Tribolium castaneum: one gene and its partner. The protein of the gene in region 1 binds, or shares a complex with, the protein of each later gene. Links are inferred from orthologs where the notes say so. Each region holds a gene or a part of one and is shown on either strand. Other genes may lie near its edges. The genes, in order: Bulli and Mon1.

The links.
Region 2: the proteins of Bulli (region 1) and Mon1 are in contact, whole or in part, in a cryo-EM structure (PDB 8JBE), measured with the Drosophila melanogaster proteins. The link is inferred for Tribolium castaneum from reciprocal best matches to the Drosophila melanogaster genes Bulli and Mon1. Residues at the interface, in NP_648047.2 of Drosophila melanogaster: Ile561, Arg565, Lys568, Asp590, Leu592, His595, Ser596, Arg599, Phe600, Met603, Phe631, Pro632; in NP_608868.1 of Drosophila melanogaster: Pro416, Glu417, Arg419, His438, Pro439, Glu445, Arg448, Met473, Lys474, Glu475, Arg476, Glu494, Pro495, Val496.

What each region holds. Positions count from the first base shown.
Region 1 is NC_087394.1:22,491,825-22,496,265, reverse strand, and holds the start of Bulli (regulator of MON1-CCZ1 complex), read right to left. Parts: upstream 2,812-4,441; 5' UTR 2,775-2,811; coding exon 2,676-2,774; intron 2,625-2,675; coding exon 2,147-2,624; intron 2,073-2,146; coding exon 1,843-2,072; intron 1-1,842. Other genes in the region: adenosine 5'-monophosphoramidase HINT3, read left to right, coding at 2,812-2,907, 2,965-3,145, 3,195-3,388, 3,440-3,481; RhoGAP68F (rho GTPase-activating protein 1), read right to left, coding at 4,165-4,335, 4,383-4,441. UniProt on the Drosophila melanogaster protein: Positive regulator of the Rab7 guanyl-nucleotide exchange activity of the Mon1-Ccz1 complex, possibly by enhancing its endosomal membrane association.
Region 2 is NC_087396.1:19,985,367-19,989,271, forward strand, and holds Mon1 (vacuolar fusion protein MON1 homolog), read left to right. Parts: upstream 1-1,470; 5' UTR 1,471-1,669; coding exon 1,670-1,965; intron 1,966-2,011; coding exon 2,012-2,209; intron 2,210-2,255; coding exon 2,256-2,499; intron 2,500-2,544; coding exon 2,545-3,258; 3' UTR 3,259-3,393; downstream 3,394-3,905. Other genes in the region: phytanoyl-CoA dioxygenase, peroxisomal, read right to left, coding at 161-272, 325-441, 494-501; Prp38 (pre-mRNA-splicing factor 38), read right to left, coding at 3,394-3,789, 3,836-3,905. UniProt on the Drosophila melanogaster protein: Part of the Mon1-Ccz1 guanyl-nucleotide exchange factor complex specific for Rab7 that promotes the exchange of GDP to GTP, converting Rab7 from an inactive GDP-bound form into an active GTP-bound form.

The DNA of each region.
Region 1 (4,441 bases):
GTAAAGAATAATTTGATATTTTTTCTTTTTAACGAAATTATAATTTTAATTTTAAAATAAGAAGATAATGATTTGTTTTAAATTAATTCTCTATGCAAAAGCAATAAAAAAATGGATGACATATTCTGCCCTCTATATTGTTTTCATACCTATGGTTTTTACTAAATGCATAATTGGTTGAATTTACTAAGATGAAAGTAATCTGTAGTCAACAATTTTACTGCTCGTTATTCCTCATCTTATACCAAAATCATCTTTTTGCGTAACTTACACACGTAATAGCAGGGTTATTAGTAGTTATTACTTATTGGCCCGAACATACACATACTAAAAATGTTCAAGAATTTACAACGATTAATTTTGATGCTACCGATTATAAGGAACAAATAAATTAGAGAGTACGGCACCAACTCACCACCCCATCAGTTCTACCTAAGGTTATTAATTATTGTAATTAATGAAAAGCTTGTAACATTTAACATTACTTTCCAGAAGAGAGTTTAAATTAAACTTAATTAAAAAAAATGCATTGATACTGATGGATCTTTTCCCCAAATTGCATTTTCAAATTTGAAATTAATCAATTTCAAAAATGAAAAATAAAATGAAATTTATTTATTCCTTAAGCAAGAGTTGGGTGACAATTTGACAAACCCTAAACCAAAATACGTAGTGCAATACGAAAATACTGACGAGTAAAAAGTCGGTCATTTGACTCAATTAAGTCATGTTAATTAACTTATTAAGATGAATAATTATAGTGCAGAAAAAATGCTTATCTTAATTCTTATTGTGTAATAATTATAGGGAAATTAAAGCAACGTATAAAATTCATATTTTTGTAGTAGGTCACTTTGCACAAAAATCTTTGAACAAGTCGTTATTTTTGTATTTAAAAAATACATTTTGACATCTTTGTAACATCTGTAACGTCATTGGTTTTTGAGTTAAGACGTCATTTTGTTATTTTTTTAAACGGCAACCGACATTTTTGTTTACAGTGTACAGAAATTTTGTTACTAAAATAAAAATTGGGACATTTTATTTGAAAAAATTAAGTTGTGGGTATTTGAAATTGTCAAAACTTAACCATAAAATTTTACAGTTTATTAACTTCTTTCGCAATTTTGGACACACTGGATATGGGCCTTCTCTTTTAATTCTCCAAATATGATTTCGAAATCTCTGAAACTAAGAGAGTTACCAATTTTTTAAGTGAGTGGTGCAAATCCAAAAATTTTCAAAAAATCTTAAATATTTCGAAAACGGTAAAATTAAGTATAGGGAAAAACAGTAAAAATTCCCTTTAAATAATTCAACTGCAGTGAAAAACAGCGTTTCATTTAAAATAAAAAAGTTGAGAGCGACTTCCGGTATAACCGGAAGTGCTGCCATCTTGAAAATATTTCCATTGAGCAGAACTCAACGGATTATGACTTAGATACTTCTAATGTGGCACCGAACAGGCTGCAAGGACCTTTGTTCTTGCACGAACTACCACACAGAATAGTCCTTTAGCTTTCTGGTAGGTAAATATAAAAAAAATAAAATATAATGTAAAAAAGCTATTGATAATTATTACAGACAAAATGCTTATCCTTTTGTTTTCGACCTATTTTATAAGGGGTGATTGTATTTTTTTTAATAACCCATATAAAAATATTTGCATGCATTACTATTAAACTCACCTGATTAATTATTGCATATTGTATTATTAATTAATAACCAATTAACAAAAAATGATGAAGAGCATTAAAGTTTAAAATAATGAAAAACAACAAATATAAAAATAAGAAAAAAAATCAGAATTGGTGCGGATAAGCAGAGTTTTACTGTATTTACCTGATGATGGACCAGAATCAAATCATCAACGATATTAATCGCAAATCTCCCAGAAAGCCCCAATTTCAAGACATGTGTTTTAACGGCGGCTTGTCCCGGGCCACTTAAGGTGTGTACATGGACCTCAGCACTCTGGGGGCCACTCTGATGTCTCAGAATTAAAACAGCGGGAATGTCGTACAGAGTGGACAAAGTTACGTCTCGTTCTAAAGCCATACGGCCAGGTTCGGCTTAAAACAAAACATTTGAAAAAAAAATTATCGTGACCCCAAGATAAGTCTCTCGCGCAAGCGTAAAAACTTACTTTCAACTTTAGGCAGTTTGCTTATTGACCCCGGTTTAAAAAGCACAGGCTGCAGCTGCGACCCATGAGCCGATGCCAGAAGCGCGATTTTGTTTAAGGAGCACCAGACGAACCACTGAACAGTCGCCGAGGTGGTTTTAAGGTATTTGAGTGACTTTTTTTCCGGGATGATCATGTAGAGTTCAATTCCGTGGTCGGTCATGAACGCAACTTCATTATTTTGCGACCAAACGAACCCCAAAATGTTCGAATTCTTCTTGCAGCTTTGGGAGTACTCTGAATCGAGTGTCGCTCCGTTAAAATTCATAAACTCAACCGACGTGTTTGAGCGCTGAACTGCCAGAACCTTCTGATCAAGGGAGAATTTTATTGATAGGACGGGGCCGTGGTCTTCCATTCGAAAATTGAGCGGTTTGTCGGACTCTGTTGGGCCTTTGACCACCACTCCCATAACGCCACCCGAGCGCACCGCGAACACCTTCAAGGGGGCTGTCACCAAAAATACAAGAATCTATCTCGGGATAGTTACGTGTTTGTTCGAGTCGTCGAAGAAGACATTTGTGAGCTGGTTGACGGCCTCAAAACGGACCGGGTTCTCAGACAATTCCAAATAAAAATCACTTGACATTTTCAATTCTAACCTCAACTGTCACATTGACGTTAAAATGACAGCTGTCATAACAATTGTCAATAAATCACCTGTCAGCAGGATTTTTACAAATTCGTTCCGTGGAGCGAAAACTTTTAGAAGTATTACAAAGGCAAGTTCGAATTTATCCACTTAGTGCTGGACCATTGATAAGTTATGTAATTTGCAGATGTCAAACTGTATTTTTTGCAAAATTATCTCAGGTGATGCCCCTGCTGAAATCTTCCATCAGGATGACAAAATGATTATTTTCAAGGATATTAAACCGGCCTCCAAGCACCATTTTTTAGCTGTGCCAAAAGAACACATCCCTAATGTAAATAGTCTCTCCAAAAATCAAATTCCATTAAGTAATTGGCTAAATTAGAGATTATTTTTTATGTACTATTTTTTTTTCAGTTAATGATTTAATAGCCAAAAGTAAACAGGTTTTAGCTGACAAAGGAGGTAATCTAGATGATACAAGACTAGGTTTTCATTTACCACCGTTTAATTCAGTATCGCATTTGCATTTACACATAATATCACCAGTTTCGGAAATGTCTTTCATAAGCAGTTTTGTGTTCAAGCCCAATAGTTGGTGGTTTACTTCTGTACGTTATTTAATCACTCATTTATTTATCTTTAATTGTGTAATTTTGTAGGTGGATCAAATCCTGGAGAAATTAGAAAAAAGCAAATTATGAGACATTTTATATCATACTTTATTGGTAGGGTTATAAGACACATTATAATATAAAAAATAAAATAAATTCTGATGGAATGGTTAGTGGGTTAATAAATACAAGAGGTAGAAACCATTTGAAGTGTTCTACATTGGACCTGTAAACTATTGATACCTTTCTAAATAAAGAAATTGAAACTAACAAATGTAGAATCTAATTTAGAACCCAGGGGTTGGAACAGTTCTTTGGCATTTTGACTATTTTTTCGTTCAATATACAAAATCAGGCACATACCCTTTAAAGCAACTTAATTCTCAACAAATACAAGTGTACAAAATATTTAACTCTTCCTCAATAAAGGATATGCACCGGTATATATAATTTACAAAATTACTACATTTGTTACTGCTCTTACAGTTACATAACTACTTCTATAAGTCTTATGTTTGTCGTAATAAGCAACACAAACTGGTACTTTAAATCTCTTACATCTTTCGTCTAACATGATATATCCAGGCAAACTATTTTATGATCAACATTATTAATTAATATGAGATGATAACAATTTAAGTAAAACACGATTATGGCTCAAATTAATCTTGACACAGAAACCCTGTCGTAAGTGGTCGCGATCTAGAATGTAAAACGAATTTTGTACTGAAAAAAATGCAATAACAATCACAGAATCGACTCCTTAAAGCATTTTAAATCATAAATATCGCGTTACAGTGTTGCAACAAAAACTGGGTGAACATGTTTATGGGGCCTATGGCCACCAGTGACATCGATTCGATCTCAGACCACACTAGATTTGGGCCGAATACCACAGCTAAGTTTTGTGCATTCATTTTATTCAAGTCGGCCCTTTCCATCACCTACAAAAAACGTAAAAATCGGTTCACCTCCATGCGAAACAATTTACCCTTGAAAGGAAGCTAATAATGTATTTCAAAATTTGATAGTTATCAACTGGTAGCTTTT
Region 2 (3,905 bases), on another chromosome or scaffold:
TCAGCGTTTCCTATCATAAATACTTAATTTCTTAACTATTAATGTAAAATTTTGAAAGAAATATTAAAAAAAACACATGAGTATAGAACAAAATGAAGCATTCAACAGCAAATGCTTTTGTATTCACAAAAACTTAACGTAGCAATTTTTATTATCATACCTTATTTATTAAATATTGCCCTCTGACACCTTTATGTTTTAAAGAAGGGTCTTTCATAACAGTCATAAATCCAGGGTCAGCCACTCCGTCGCATATTTTGATGAATCTATCTCTGTATTAAAAATAATAATAAAATATTTAAAGAAAATTAAAGGAAACATTACTGAATTTCATCCAATAAGGCATGACTAACATTGTTCTTTATCACAATATATCCATTATCTTCATAAAATTGGCGTTGTTCGTATGTTAGAACACCACCGTCTTGAGTATACCTAAATCTAAAAATTGTACTTATTAATATGCACTTAATTTTTTGTTTAACTAAATTACCTTCCCATTTTGTTCGGTAACGCAGACAATTCTCTTAAGAAACTTGTCCGAATAATACACTAAAACATAAAATTATCTTGTTTATTAAATACACTTGAATTATGTTGCGTCATTGAAGCATTTATTTATAACAATACAAAAAACATGTACTTAATGATTTCAGTGTCAGTAGTAAGTAATAACAACACATTATCGAACAGATACTCAATAATAAACAATTACTTTGAATTTACTTGTACTGTTTTTAATCAAATGTCAAGCATCCCACCGTTTAAATAAATAAATCAATGATACGAGAACAGTAAGAGCCGGTTTACAGAAAATTTTAATTGCAATTAAATTTTAATCGCGATTAACTTGACATTTGTCAATGCATTTTAAATGGCAACTTAATTCGAATTAGTTTAATTTCGAATTAAATCTTAATTTCGCTTTCTGTAAACCGATCCTTAAACTTATAATTAAACATACTGTCTATTTTTTTCTCGATTTTGTTACTTAAGTACCTACTACTTAAGCCGTAGATATACATATCGCTCAAATTGTAACACACTATAATAATTATTTGTGCGTAAAAAGGAACTAACAAATGCTTTTTCTTATTATCGTTGTTTGTTAGTTGTTAAACACTCACCTCGTTATCACAGCACGCAAAGTACAGTAAATAATAAAAGTCTTGACCTCTGCATACCCAACAGATGATCTAACTAAAATTTCACTATTTATCTAGTTAGAAGGTTGGTAATGCTATATTTTTAAATAAATTAAGTGTATTTCAGTGATGTATTTATTTTCAAGTTTGAAATAACATACTACTACCAAAATCAAAATTAATTTGAAACCAAAATGTAGTGCAATAAAATAAAAAATGACATTCTCTTATTTTTTACACAATAACTACGTATTTAAAAAACTTGGAAAAGCGGAAACTCAATTAATATAATAGTTGCTCTTAACTTGTTTAACCACCTTAAAGCCCTGCCTTAAGAGTTTTAGTTAGAAGTATTAGTTAGAAGGTTGGCACCAAAATTGACAACTGTCAAAAAAATGTCAGGTTGAGGTTAGAAATCAATCAATCAAAGAGCAATGCATTGAAATCTCAAAAACCCAACAAAATTCCGACGATTTTTCAAGAATGTTCGTGAATTTCACGTGAACTAAAACCCCCAACAAAAAATGTCCTCGAATCTGGAAGTTGAGCCGGGGGCAGCCTCCGAGAGTGTCCTTGTTACCACCGACTCCTTTGACAATTTTGATCACATGAGCTCGAGCCTCGAAGAAATCAAAAACCTGAATGCACTCGCGGAAAACGACTCAAACGTGGAAAACAGCAACGTCGAGAATTTTGACGAAATCAGCGAGAATCTCTCAATTAACAACGAAGAGGACGATTTCGTCCAGTCAAAGGAGTGGGCTTGTAAGAACAAACATGTCTTTGTCCTCAGCATGGCCGGGAAACCCATCTATTCGAGGTTGTTATCGTTTGCATAATTTTTTTCTTTACAACTTATGTCTCAGATATGGAAACGAGGATAAGCTAGCCTGGTTGTTCGGTGTTATGCAAACACTGGTTAGCTTCGTACAGTCAAATGAGGACACCATTAGGAGCATCCATGCCGGGGACACGAAGTTTGTCTTTTTAATTAAGAAACCGTTAATTTTAGTCGCCGTTTCTCGAACGCAGGAAAGTGTAAATCAGCTGTGTTCACAACTAAAGTGAGGGTTCCCACTTTGTTATTTTTTCTAGTTTTGTTTATTGCAGCTACGTATTTAATCAAATAGCCAGTGTCTTAACCTTGACTAGACTTAATAAAATTTACGAGCAACGCCAGAATTATGACTTAAGACGGCTTCTGGCAGGTGTTGAGAGACTCATTGACCACTTGCTAGATTTCTCAGAGAAGGAGCCTTCGTTCACTTTGGGCGCAGTCCAGTGTCTGTCACTTGCGTCCTCAGTGAGAGACAACATCAGCTCGGCCATTGTCGGAGCTTGCAGCAAAATTAAAGTAAAAAAATTGTTTCAAAAAACATTTTTAAAATATCGTTTCCAGAACCTAGTTTTCGCAATACTTCTCGCAAACAATAAACTTATCACTCTAGTCCGCATGAAAAAATATTGCCTTCACCCGGCCGATCTCCATTTAATATTTAACTTAGTCCAAGCCTCCGAAAGCCTCAAAACGGCTGAAAGTTGGACACCGTTATGTCTTCCACGGTTTGACGCTAGTGGTTTTTTATACGGACATGTGTCCTACTTGGCTGAAGACTGTCAAGCGTGTTTGCTCCTCCTGACGGTGGAAAGGGACGTATTTTTTGCCCTAAGTGAGGCGAAACAACGCATAGTGGAAAAACTGCGACGCAGCAACTGCTTAGAAGCAATCAATGAGTCGCTGAGTGCGAAAGAAGAAACTTGCATTGTTGCGGGTTTCCCCGAACTTAGGCACTATTTGTACAAATGCAAAAGTACAGCACAGTTCTACCAACCAAGCTTGACCCCACCGTACACCAAATATAACGAGAGACTAACAAAGTTGTACAAACGGGCGCATAACTTGTTGCATTGCTCGACGAGGCCGCTAAAGTTGTTATTTGAGAAAAACTCAGACGAGGCGATTTTGGCGTGGGATACGAGAGGTTTTGAGCTTTATGTAGTTTTCGAGCCCTTGATTGACACAAACAGTGCGATTAACTCAGTGGGGCGGCTGCTGAACTGGATTAAGAAAAGGGAGGAGAAGTTGTTTCATCTCAATGCGCCCACTTTTTGAGCCATTTGATTTGTATATATTATAAATATGTAAATTTTGTGGAAATCTAAGGTATAGGCTTAATCTGTGATATTCACAATCCTAAACTTGTTGATGTATTTAATTATTGATTGTATAAAACGATGTATTGAAAAATCAGTGGTGTCTGTCTCGCTCCCGTTTCCTGTCTTTATCCTTACGATCTCGCTCTTTTTCGCGGTCTTTCTCCCGGTCCTTGCGCTCCTTCTCCCTGTCTCTTCTCTCCCTATCGCGCTCCTTCTCCCGGTCGCGGTCCCTCTCCTTGTCCTTCTCCTTCTTGTGGCGTTCCTTACTCCGACTGCGATGCCTTTCTCTGGATCTGCTGCGTTCCCGCTTCCTCTCCCTTTCTTTCTTCTCTTTGGGCTTTTCTTCAACCAACTCGTACTTGTTTTCTTCCTCAAGTTCAATCTCTTCGTCCAAGTCGTCTTCAAGGGCCGAGATCTTGGCTTCGAGTTCGTTGCTTTCTTCCAAAACAATGCGTTTTTGAATGCGTGGCAAAATAACATCACAAACCTTAAAAATTAATTTTACTATCTACCGTAACAAAAAAAACACGTACTCGTTCCTCTCGTAACAATTCGTCAATAAACTCGTCCATGTGTACAATTTCAAACTGCGCTTGGCGATTT